4 linked regions of the Schizosaccharomyces pombe genome follow. The main gene of each other region encodes a partner of the protein of the gene in region 3 in a complex. Each region holds a gene or a part of one and is shown on either strand. Other genes may lie near its edges. The genes, in order: mrpl23, rtc6, mrpl51 and mrpl19.

Region 1 (2,884 bases), 2.5 Mb from region 3:
ACCTGCTGCAGGTGCTCATAGTTCCGACAACGCCTTGGAACAAATCAAGCCCTCTTATTCAGCTGACCCTTCGAGTTCCACTGGTGCTTCTTTAACCGAATCTCCAGGAATTCCTCCCAATATTGTTATCATTCTTTGCCTGATTTTCTTCCTTATTGGCTATCTTTTCTTTTAAAATGTAAAGCGTAGATATGTTTAATAAGAAGTGTAAAATCTTCTCCCTAAGTTAATGGCTCTTGATTTTATTACTTTATATGGCCTTTGCTAAGCAAGGTTTTAGGTTGACGTTTGTTGAATTTGTTTGCTCTTCACAACGATAGGGTACTTTTTAGCGCGTTTATCTGGCTTTGGAGATAATTTCCAAATGTCGTTATTTATGTCGACGTCTCATGTTATCTACTTTTTACTCGCAAGAAAAGTTGTAGTCCTCTTATGGTTACCAGACATTCATTCTTACCAGTTCACAAACGTAAATGTGTCTTTAAATACATTACAGCTTCTTATAGTGAATACAATAACATTAATTTATATAAAATAATTTTTTTTGGAAAGAACAATATTAAAATGTGTTAGCTTTTTAGGGCATACGACATTGTGGAATGTTCAAACATTAATGCAAAAAATCAATGAAATTTAAGTGAGTAGGGATATGGCTTTTGTTCTTTGAACTACCTTTTAAAATTAAAGGAGATTTTAAACACTTATTTCGAGAATAATTCCTTCGCAATTTGCGAACTTACAGGATTATGGTAGGAACGAAATATGTTTGCCTTATAAGGGTGTTCAGCTCCATCGTAAATATAAAGACGTTTCATTCTCCTATCCCAAAGCTTATTTCTTGGAAGCATTCCACCAACTGCTCTTCTCAACAAATCCTTGTGCCCCCGTTTCGCAGCCATTTCTTCCATCGTCCACTCTTTAAGATGACCAGGCTGACCCGAATGTGAATAATATTTATGATTTTCGAGTTTTCGACCAGAAATCCCAATTTCAGAACAGTCAGTGACTACTACGACATCTCCACAGTCTGCTGCAGGGTGATAAATGGGTTTGTGCTTGCCCATAAGAGTAGTTGCAATTTGGGAAGCCAGCCTACCTAGAGGAACATTTTTTGCAGAAACATGATGCCAAACTTTGGCGTAAGCCAATGCTGTCTGATATTGTTAGTAAAAGAAACTGTCAAACTAATTTCATACTTGTCCATTCAACGTTGACATCGCGTTGAGATTTCTATATCATAAAATCCTCAGTTCCTTCTGATTTTTCTCTTAAAGCGACAGTACAATATCAGTGGTTTCTAATAAAAGAGAAGTAGGAAAATTGCTCAAATAATGTTTCCTCAAGCTTGTAGGTGTGGGTAAATATTGGATGCTAAGCAACTGTAGTAAGGTAACTGTTACCTACAAAATTTCTATTTTTCAAAAATGTTGTTTTATTTATTATTTCTTAAATATTGATTTTTCAATTCATAATACGAACCTCCTTTACTAATCATGATAAAGCTAATAGCTATTGCTTCAAAAAATACCATTTGTATATATTAGAAAAAATAAGGCAATGAACGATACAATGATAAAACTAATTTTTGATAAGCCCAAAGAATCACAGTAAATTGCAATAATATACAATTAACGCTTGATTACGAATTTTCCGTCTCAGGACCAGATTCATGCTGAATGTTTTCAATTTGACTCAACAGCTGAACCATTGTTAAGCCTTCCGGACCATACAAATATCGCTTGCTATACAAGTAGCTGCTTATCGACAATGGACGGAATTGTAAATATCTTTGCAATTCATGGAGGAGTATAGAGGACTCTTCATGGCCTATAAATTCCGCTAATTCATCAATGGTTTGTGGATGTTGAATATTCTGAACTCGTAAGAGACCCATCAAAAAGATTTGTATAAAGTTAATTTGATGTCCATCTAAATATTCAAACAAGAGAAGTTCTTTAGCAATAAAGCTTTCCACTTTCTTTAATAAAGATGCGCTAGAAGCTAGTTGGATAGGAGTGGGTATTTGATATTGCCTATGTGATGAAAGCGAGGGATTTTCATAGCTTTTCCATGCCTTTTGATAGATGAAACGTCGTACGCGTAGCAAATCGGCCAATCTGTCAGTGTTTTCGCTGGAGGAAAATGAAGGCTGCCGTAGTAATTGTCGTGAAATCGAATACTGATTTGACCCCAAAGATTGAGTATACCACTTCTTATACAAACTTGACCCATGAAATCCATAAAACACACAATCTACGTGTCTCTTACAGATGGGACATGTCAAGGATTGATCCATCCAGCGACATATGCAAGAATAATCGAACTGGTCATGCCCACATGGAGATAGCTGTGCCCGAAGACCATCTTTTTGTAAACATATAACGCAATCTCGACGAAGGTAGCGAGAATTTGACGAGTTTTTACGTACAAGGAATTGCTTTTTCATTCTTCTTCTAAAATTTAATAACTTGTTATATTGTATTTATGCACTAAATTAATTGATGTGTATGAAACCGCATGAATGGCAGAATGTCAAGTTATCTTGTCATCAAAAAACATTGTGTGCTTATTCTTCTTAATGGAAAATTATTCAAGTCATAATTTGCAAGACTTGTTGAATTTTTTAAGGTGAATTTTCACAATCGTCGTCTTACACTAGATGTAGGCTAAGTTATGAGAACAATTAACAATTCGCAGTTACTAAACTGAATCTCTTCTGTACGCTCTTCGTAACGTTAACTTAGCTTAACGCGGTTAATGCTATATGCATAATACAAACAAAGAAGTACATGTTAATGTTAGCAGAACTACACTAGCTATGATACAGTACGTTGCGTATCACTATATGTCATATGCTAAGATATTACTTAAGATTCGTTTGCTG
Region 2 (2,809 bases), 180 kb from region 3:
AACGTTCACTCCAGAAGAGTCATGGACCTTAATTACTTATTTATCTCAACATGAATATATACCCTATCATATGTTGATGCTTGACCCACTGTTCAAAGGACACGACGATGCCGTTCGTGCCTTGGAAGAATCAGAATTGATTACTATTACCACAGTGAATGCAAGACCGGATAAAGTCTACGCTGGAAAACCTGTATATGTTACGGCTTTCCGGCAACTTGTAAATGATCCAGTATTAAGTGCTAATATGCAGTTGGTGAGATGTAACGCGTTAATTGGCATGGCTAACAATGCTATCAAGAATGATGAACAGGAGCTACAAATGCTAAAGGACCTTGGGAACCTTGAATCAGGTGTGAAGGATCGTGCTCATTACTTAACGACGCGTATCCAGAAAAATCAAGGTGTTATTACTGATAATGAGAAAAGTATAGAAAGGCTTACTGAGGCTTTGAAAAAAATCGACTAAGATGCGAAAGCATATCATTTAAGATTACGTATGTTTTTATGAATTCTTTAGCATGAAGCTATAATGTCAACAATAATATCACATTTAATGACTACGCATTAACGAGAGAGAAGGGAGTAAGGATTTGGTAGGTAGTCCAAAAATCGTCGTAATATGAAGTGAGCGTAATGAAGAATTAGCCTAGGTAGAAAAAAAAAGAAGAAGCGAAACCGGTTATAGTCATTAACCTTGACGGGTTTTATGTCTCGGATGTTTTTTGCATAGTACATACAACCTACCTTTGCGACGCACAAAATAGCAGGATGAACAACGCTTTTTTACTGATGCTTTCACTTTGAAACCTCTTGAAAAGTTCCAAGGTAGAAGGCTAGGAGAAAGTCTGAAAGCAGGGGTTAAGAACATAGATGCATTTTTTAACAACCCTTTTTGTGCATTAAAAGCAGAAGGGAAGACTCGTGACAAAACACCCACAGCAAAAAATTTACGACCTAATGAAGCCATTATAAGTTAAAAAAAAAGTGAAACTGGGACTTCAAGTCAAGATGTTTAAATTTTTTTGGATCCGAAGTAATTCTGAGCTAAATAAATGATGTACGATGGAAAAGTGTTCACAATTTGGACTGAGCCAAAAAAGAACGATAATAGAAAATGCCTATCAACAAGAGAAGATTTTCATAAAAAAAAAAGGTGAATACTAAGTTATATAAACTCGCTTACGCCCGATTTGTTGGATATTCTTTGTTGGGAAAATAAATAGTAGTTAGTGCTTCTAGTAAGCTAACCTACGACATGTCAGTTAGTGACAACCAACATGTCTTGTTATTCTATAAATTCAATAGCCAGCTTACTGTGGAGCAATTTGACCTGAAATTTATCACATTATTTTAAAATAAGGAATACTTTTATTAAAGTGGAGTCAACTCAACAGTGTAGCTCCATTTTTTGTTTACAAATGAAAATTTTAATGTTGAGTCTCTGACCTTCTTAGTCCCTAAAATAGCTAATTGACCGCATCATCTAATAACTTTGATTCTACGTTATTTGGTTTGGCATGCTAATCGATTAATTTGAAATGATCAATTTTTGAGAATTTGTTTATGTTTTTAGTTGCTGGTATAACGAGTTCGTTATACTTTGCTAATTTGGGTATGGAACTGGAGTGCAGATGCGTCATTTGCCTTGGTAAAAGATTGTTAAAGGAAAATTTAGCAAATCCCACGAATTGGTGGATGTCTCAAAAACACCAAAATATTCAATCCAAAGGCTGAAAAATAGATTGCTATGCAGCAAAATGTTAAAGAGAAACATGCTGGCAAAAGTGACACATCAGTGAGTTCTTTGGAGTGTGAAATCGATTATCATATCGAAGGGTCAGATGGCATACCTGTTGTGGAACCAGTAAGTTTACGCGAAAAATATTAAATATTTTGTGGATGTTAACAAAATTTGTTTAGAAAATTTCAGAATTTGTAGATATGGAAAGTTTTATTCGGCGCGTTGAAAGGCTTGGCAAGAAATACGGCGCAATTAAAGTTGTTCGTCCTAGTTCTGTTTTAAATCCTTGGAACGAAGATACAATGAAACCTTCCGATGTAAAAATGGATTTATGGTTAGAGCGAATGGTGAGACGGAAAGGAGAGTACTTCGAGATTCAAAGCGATATAGACCATGGCTCGGCTGGTCCTAAAAAGCCTACCGATATGAATGTCGACGACAGGTTTCCTTCAAACGCTGGAAGTTCTAATGACTTTGAAAACAATGTGGCTAAAGCTATTGCATATTATTGGCGTTCTTTGACCCATGACAGTCTGTGGTATGGATATACTAATCGCCCATCGATCCCCTTCTATTTTATACCTTCGATATCTGCTGCTCAAAAAGATAGGGTACATTTAAGATCGAATACATTGATTAACACTTGGCCAAATGTTGGTCACTTATTTGCTGGGAAATGGAAAACTACCCTTCCTTGGCGGGTAGAATCTCCTGAGCTGCATGCAGTTCAGGTACATTTAGGTGGCTCTTCATTGCAATGGTATGTGATACCTTCAGCACATAGTGAGTCTTTTAAAAAATTAGCTGGAAAGCTTGCGCAAGATGAGCATTGGCGTTGTTCAGATTTTTTGCTTCACCAGAATATTTTGTTTCCCCCTTCAACTCTAGTACAAAATGGTATTGTTACTTATTCAACAGTCCTTAAACAGGATGAACTGCTTATAACCTTTCCAGGCACACATCATAGTGCATTTTGTCTAGGAGACGCTGTTTTACGACGTTTTGTCTTTCGTTCACCAAGATCTGCTTCCAACTATGAATTTTCTAATTTACGAAGACTTATGG
Region 3 (3,079 bases):
ATTTACTTTACCGAATTCGGGATAAGCTTTTAGTATCCTATGCCCGGAAGGCAAATTGTGATACCATTGTTTTTGGTGATAGCGGTACTACAATTGCTGCAAGAGTTCTTGAACTTGTGGCAGAGGGTCGAGGTTTTGCGATACCATGGTACACTTCTGTCTGCTCTAAGCTTCCAAATTGCGATACTTTCCTACTACGTCCCCTACGTGAAGTTTTGTCTTCAGACCTCAAGTCGTATATGAACATTAAGGGATTAGCTTTCTGCGATAGCTTAATTGAAGCACGTCCTAATACTATTCATGGCGTTACAGAATCATATTTCTCATCGCTGAATGATACATTCCCAAGTCTGGTTAGCACCGTTGTCAAAATGAGCTCAAAATTGCATGTGCCTTCTACAGAAGCCATATGTACCATCTGTAATCTACCAATGCAAGAAGATGCTGAGACTTGGTTACAAAAAACTACGGTTGAACATCCGGATTCCGTTGAAGGTATTAAGAATCAAAATGTTTGCTATGGCTGTTCTGTTTCTTTAAAAAGCTTAAAAGGGACGTTGCATATTCCTGATATTGAAAAAGAAGGGATTTGATACATCTGTACACTTACTACCTGGTTAACTAGAGTATTTATGGGAAGATAAATTTGGATAGGGTTTTGTATTTCGGACAAAAAGGTTAGACATAATAACATAACGAAAATGATTAAATTGAATTTTCTTTTTTTTGTATGAAATAATAAGTAGTTTGTAGAGGAATCTAAGGGGACTTTTTCTTATAAATTTCATGGGGCTTTGCTTGATCGGAAAATGGACTCCAAATACCACGAACGGATGGGTTTGTTGACTCAACAGGATATTTTATGAGGCGAGGTTTCAAACCATCACTATCTCTGCATAGAATTGCTTTTTGAAATATTGAAGACGCTGACATTTTCCTTGTACAAATGACCTTCTCTCGACCAGTATCTATTATCGTAGCATTAGTAAAAAACACTATTTTAAGGAGTTCATATTTATAAAACTAAGAGGATCACCATAATAAGAGAAAAGTCTTGGACGTACTGTAATAAGCTCGGATTAATGGATGCTTGCCTTGGCGGTTTGTAACATGAAATTCCACATCTTGAGATTCTTTGGCCAAAGACTCAAGCTTTGTGGATAAAAATTCTTTCATGCCTTTTGAGCTTCCACCCCAATTACAATACGAAAACTCAATTCGACGGCACTAAAAAGAAAATTAGTAATACGAAGTTAATGAAGGCCAATCTTTTTTTTTTTTTTTTTTTTAAAAAAAAAGAAAGCTGATTAAATCTTACTGGGCGGGTAAATGAACCTAGTCCATTTTTGGGAATTGAAATTTTAGGAATGATTTCAATCATCATTAAGTGAGTAAAAGGCCGTAAAAAAGGGGATACCGTCTTTTAAAAACCAGAATTCTTAATATGCTATATTGAAAAAAGTTGGGTGAGCAAATCCTTGCAGAAATAATGAAAAGTCGGTATGGAGACGTAAAGGGGTGTGTGGAAATTCGCAAATCCCAAATTGCTCTAAACTTCAATACTTGTTCCAATTGATTTAGAATGTTAAACTTAGTATGCAATTAGTTTTATAAAAAATTTTAGCAACAAAATCAAGTTTACTGTCTACCTACAGTTTCTGGTTACACACTTTGCAATACTTTACCTTTCTGCTCTTCTCTAAATAATGATATCTAGAAAGTTTACAGTGATTTTTTAACGTAGTACATGGACTGCGAACAAACATAATATAGGTTTTTTAAAACGAACAATTTTGATTTAATATCATTCATTTATGCAGAGATATCCTTTTCTGAAAGAGCAAAGTTGTATCGGTTCTTGTACTCGAAGTTCTTCAGCCTAGATATTTGTCAACATAGCAAATTAATACAGTAAGCAACACCACTAATATCATTTCTAAAATAATGGCTGAATTTCTGATTTGAATATCTAAGGAATTTCATTTCATGAAGCTTTATTTATCCCTCCTAAATGAACAGAATAGCAAGAAAATATATTTCACCAGTATAGCATAAGAAACTACTGTGCATTTTGTAATAATTTATTTAATGCATTCTAATACACCTTCGTTCATATACAGTACGATCGACCCTATCCTTATCTTGGCTATATCAAGGTTCAGTATGCCGCACTAGTGCATCAGCCAGCCTATCGATGTTTATTTACTGTCCGCCACTGTATGGAAGTTGTCGTTTCCCTATCCGAATTTAATAAAAATTTTGTAAAGAAATTGATCTAAAGCGTTAGTTACTTAGTCTATACTAGACGGTTCCTTACAAAAAAATTTGACATTTTTCATAGTTGATGTAGATAACTTAGGAAAATCAACAGAATGTCGTTTCGTGTAAAGGGATGGAGTGATCAGTTCTCTGAGTCATTCTATGAGCGAGCAACCACTTTGCTTACGGCTGCTTTAAACAAAGGCACTAAACACTCGATGATTGCAGACCACATCACTGTAAAAGAGTTGGATTTGGGTCCCCAACCTCCTCAACTGGAAATTTTAGAGGTTGGCGACTTAGCGCCAGACCGCTTTCAGGGCCTCTTTAATCTCCATTATTCGGGTGATGCTTCTTTGGTCTTGCAAACAAAAATTCGTGCCAATCCATTATCGGTGCAAAAAAGTAATGTTCCCAGTTTTAGTTCTCGTAATACAATGTTAGCATCTCGTGCACCGCTTACTGTGCCTATGTTTTTACGACTTTCCGACTTAAAGCTTAACGGAATAGTTGTTTTGGTGTTTTCAAAGCAGAAAGGTATCACTGTGGTATTTCGAAACGATCCTTTAGAATCCGTGCGTGTATCTTCCTCCTTTGATTCTATTCCTGCTATTGCTCGCTTTTTACAAAGAGAAATCGAGGTGCAACTGGTCTCCCTGTTTCAGGAAGAACTTCCTTCCATCATATACAAAATGTCAAGAATTTGGTTTGCCAAGTCCGACTCTAATCTATCTTTTCAAAAAATTCCTTTCACTTCTCCTAACCAATCTCATACTTCTCTGGCTAATTATAACCCAGATTTGCTAGATGGTCCTCCCGA
Region 4 (2,974 bases), on a different chromosome or scaffold from region 3:
AATATTGTTATTAAGCTTTTTTCCGCTGAAGGAACTAAAGCAGTGAAGATTAGTGACGATATCATGAAAAATACTGGTGATCGTGATGCTGTTATTCAAGCCAAGCATCAATTATGCCTCCCTATAGCATAAGCCATTTCTTTTATTTTCGAGCGTTTCTGCAGTACTAATCTTGGTTTTTTTTTTCTTATTTTTTGATAGATAGACAGAGTTTGAGGCTCTCTTTTATTGAGCTGCATTTCATAAGGCGTGACTTAGAGTAAACATAAAACTCACACTTGAAAATCTTCATTTTCTTTTCTGCTTAGCATATCTGTTTCGTTATCTATATTGATAGTTTAATGCTAAAGGTAATCATTTAGTCTAAGATGTGTTTGTAAACTAACGGTATGCAATTCTTTAATTTTATATGGCAAACGTGTTTTTTTACTTTGCTTGTTTAACGAAGGAATAATATAAAACAACTAAGAAAAGGAGAAAATAAGAAAACAGGGACAACGTTTTAGTCGGTAATAGTAAAAAGTCATATCATTAACTGCTTTTATTCAAGAAAAAAGAGGGGAATAGTTTATAACAAGATAGAAAAAAAAATAACCTCAAGTATGACCAGTTACAAAATGCTCTGGCGTCTCATAAGATTAAGGTACGACTTTGACGCCCATGCTTTTAGCTGTTCCAATGACACTTTTACAAAGAGAAAGAAGCTCTATTCCTTGTAAGCTTGGATCAGTACTTTTCAATTTGGCAATTTCATATATATGCTTCAAGCTTAATTGTCCCTTTATATCATGTAATGGGGAACTTGAACCTTTTTCAAGGTCGAGGGTTTTAGAGATTAACCAACTGGTTGGAGGAGTATGTATAGTGAAAGTAAATGTTCTTTGAGGTGTGACAGTAATTTTACAAGGCACTGGGGTATTTGGCATCCAACCTGCCGTCCGCGCATTAAATTCTTTACAAAAGTCTATGCTCTTCAACCCGCGAGCACCAAGGGCAGGTCCAATTGGAGGCGTAGGCGTAGCTTTTCCTGCCGGTACAATTAATTTTATGATTGTCGTTCTAGTAGAAGCCATAAGGTTAAAGAAGAAAATACAGTTGTAAGTTGTATGTCTCTCATGCAATAAAGTAACATGTTCTTCCTTAAAAATAATTGTAATTAGAATAATAACTAATTTGAAATATTTGGGTGAATTAATTGTAATGTGTTTACTTATTTGTAATATTAAAGCTTTTAATAGCAGTCAGAAAAATTCCCGAATAGACCAAATGTGTCCTTCTCTTCTGCTTGATTGAATAGAAGTAAAAGTATTGACATTAAATAGGCAACTCAGATAAATGGAAAAGACGTTTTCATAAACGTTGTTCGTTTTAGGATTTTTTTGAAAAATTTTAGTTGATTTTTGAATCTCAAATACGGATTAGTTAAAATGTCGCAAAATTTTTCATTTGTTGAACAACAATAGCGCTGAATTGAAGCCGTTTAAAAGAAGCAAACCAAAATTTAGCTACATAGCTTTTCAAAGTTAACTCCTTACTATCAATTAATATATTAAGTTTTTAGGGATTGGCAAATATCCTAACTAAAAAGCATGATTATTTCATTTGAATCACAAGCTGAAATTAAATGGTCTTTTCTCAGCTATTTTATTACTTTCAATAAACATTTTACATACCATTTTATGGTAAACAAAGTAAAACACATGTTTACTGGAAGTCACAGTCTGTCACTAGCACATGCCATCGATATGTTTCTTTTTCCTAATGTGTATTGTAATTAAAACTATAAAGGGTTTTCACCTGAAGTGCTTGGGCTATGTAGGAATGCTGTCACGCGATGCAGCTTGAATAATTAGTAGAAATAAAAAGATTTCAAAGTGCAGATTTCTATTAAAACTCTACTCTTAAAATTAATTATTACAAACCAACGACTATCTTATTAATTTCCATCCTAACATGCTGAGTGAAGTTTGCCATAATCATCTTAACCAACTTGCTATTTACTACACATTCTTAACAATCCATCGTTTTCAGCGAATGTAAGGATGTTAATAAATTAAAATGCTTTTCTATCGATTTAAAAGTTGGTATAGGCTTCAAGCCAAGAAAAGTCCGTTTATTTACGTTGGATTGCCGTTTTTGAGCTCAGTATTATTAGTCTGGTCATGCTTGATCCCCATTTCCCAAGTCAAATTTAACAGACGAGATGAACAAGTTAAATCCTTGTCCCGGGATGCAGAGTTAGACATTATTAAAAGAAGAAGAAAGGTCGACGTTAATGAAGAATATTATGTAAGTAAAGTGCTGATCTTGTTTTACAATATTTAAGTTTTGGCAACCAGCTGCAAAGTGCATTTGCTTTTCGTGAATTTACATTCACCAGTTCCTTTTTTATTAACCACCTGTTATAGAGGATCTTATTAGATCAGTTGAATCTACAGAACGAGGAGTACGAAAATAAACGTGTAAAGAGGTTAAAAGGGGAGCCTACATGGGAAGGAAATTCAAGCGATAAAGAATGAATAATGAACGATTTTATTGTTATTTTGTTCCTTTATTTTATTATTAATTATGGAGTATTGAAAAGGATACAAGTTTTTGAAGTGAGAATGCTGAAGACGACTTTATGATACAGAGTGTTTTAGCATATGGAAATACTCAAATAAATAAAGCAAGAATTTTTTTTTCTAACATGAGAATAATATTTATGTGGCTCATATATAATTATCTTCAATTTAAAGGACCAAATACTTACACTTAAGCATATTCAGTAGAATAAACTTTCAATGAAGATATTTGAGCGTAAATTTCACTATGAATATGTCACTCAAGCCTAAAAGCGTTTTAATAATAGGAGCATTCAGAAAGGTTTCTTTACTAGTAAACGGTTTATTTTTGGCTTTCCGTTATATATAAGTAACTTGTTAAATAGAACTTGTTTTGAAAGCAATCAAATAAGTGCCATCTCTCTTTATTA

The links.
Region 1: mrpl51 (region 3) and mrpl23 share a complex: the UniProt entries of both Schizosaccharomyces pombe proteins name them as parts of the mitochondrial large ribosomal subunit.
Region 2: mrpl51 (region 3) and rtc6 share a complex: the UniProt entries of both Schizosaccharomyces pombe proteins name them as parts of the mitochondrial large ribosomal subunit.
Region 4: mrpl51 (region 3) and mrpl19 share a complex: the UniProt entries of both Schizosaccharomyces pombe proteins name them as parts of the mitochondrial large ribosomal subunit.

The regions. Positions count from the first base shown.
Region 1 is NC_003423.3:4,218,236-4,221,119, reverse strand, and holds mrpl23 (mitochondrial 54S ribosomal protein uL13m), read right to left. Parts: upstream 1,348-2,884; 5' UTR 1,218-1,347; coding exon 1,197-1,217; intron 1,155-1,196; coding exon 702-1,154; 3' UTR 504-701; downstream 1-503. Other genes in the region: scs2 (VAP family protein), read left to right, coding at 1-175; mrz1 (ubiquitin-protein ligase E3), read right to left, coding at 1,640-2,446. UniProt on the Schizosaccharomyces pombe protein: Component of the mitochondrial ribosome (mitoribosome), a dedicated translation machinery responsible for the synthesis of mitochondrial genome-encoded proteins, including at least some of the essential transmembrane subunits of the mitochondrial respiratory chain.
Region 2 is NC_003423.3:1,519,521-1,522,329, forward strand, and holds rtc6 (mitochondrial 54S ribosomal protein bL36m), read right to left. Parts: upstream 971-2,809; coding exon 692-970; 3' UTR 510-691; downstream 1-509. Other genes in the region: RNA-binding protein Yme2, read left to right, coding at 1-469; Lid2 complex histone demethylase H3-K36 subunit Jmj3, read left to right, coding at 1,751-1,867, 1,924-2,809. UniProt on the Schizosaccharomyces pombe protein: Component of the mitochondrial ribosome (mitoribosome), a dedicated translation machinery responsible for the synthesis of mitochondrial genome-encoded proteins, including at least some of the essential transmembrane subunits of the mitochondrial respiratory chain.
Region 3 is NC_003423.3:1,698,387-1,701,465, reverse strand, and holds mrpl51 (mitochondrial 54S ribosomal protein mL43), read right to left. Parts: upstream 1,534-3,079; 5' UTR 1,385-1,533; coding exon 1,319-1,384; exon of another isoform or gene 1,228-1,318; coding exon 1,065-1,227; exon of another isoform or gene 969-1,064; coding exon 760-968; 3' UTR 594-759; downstream 1-593. Other genes in the region: cytosolic thiouridylase subunit Ctu2, read left to right, coding at 1-593; protein Mdm34, read left to right, coding at 2,373-3,079. UniProt on the Schizosaccharomyces pombe protein: Component of the mitochondrial ribosome (mitoribosome), a dedicated translation machinery responsible for the synthesis of mitochondrial genome-encoded proteins, including at least some of the essential transmembrane subunits of the mitochondrial respiratory chain.
Region 4 is NC_003424.3:3,205,462-3,208,435, forward strand, and holds mrpl19 (mitochondrial 54S ribosomal protein uL11m), read right to left. Parts: upstream 1,080-2,974; 5' UTR 1,074-1,079; coding exon 639-1,073; 3' UTR 501-638; downstream 1-500. Other genes in the region: npt1 (nicotinate phosphoribosyltransferase), read left to right, coding at 1-132; cytochrome c oxidase assembly protein Cox16, read left to right, coding at 2,059-2,289, 2,409-2,519. UniProt on the Schizosaccharomyces pombe protein: Component of the mitochondrial ribosome (mitoribosome), a dedicated translation machinery responsible for the synthesis of mitochondrial genome-encoded proteins, including at least some of the essential transmembrane subunits of the mitochondrial respiratory chain.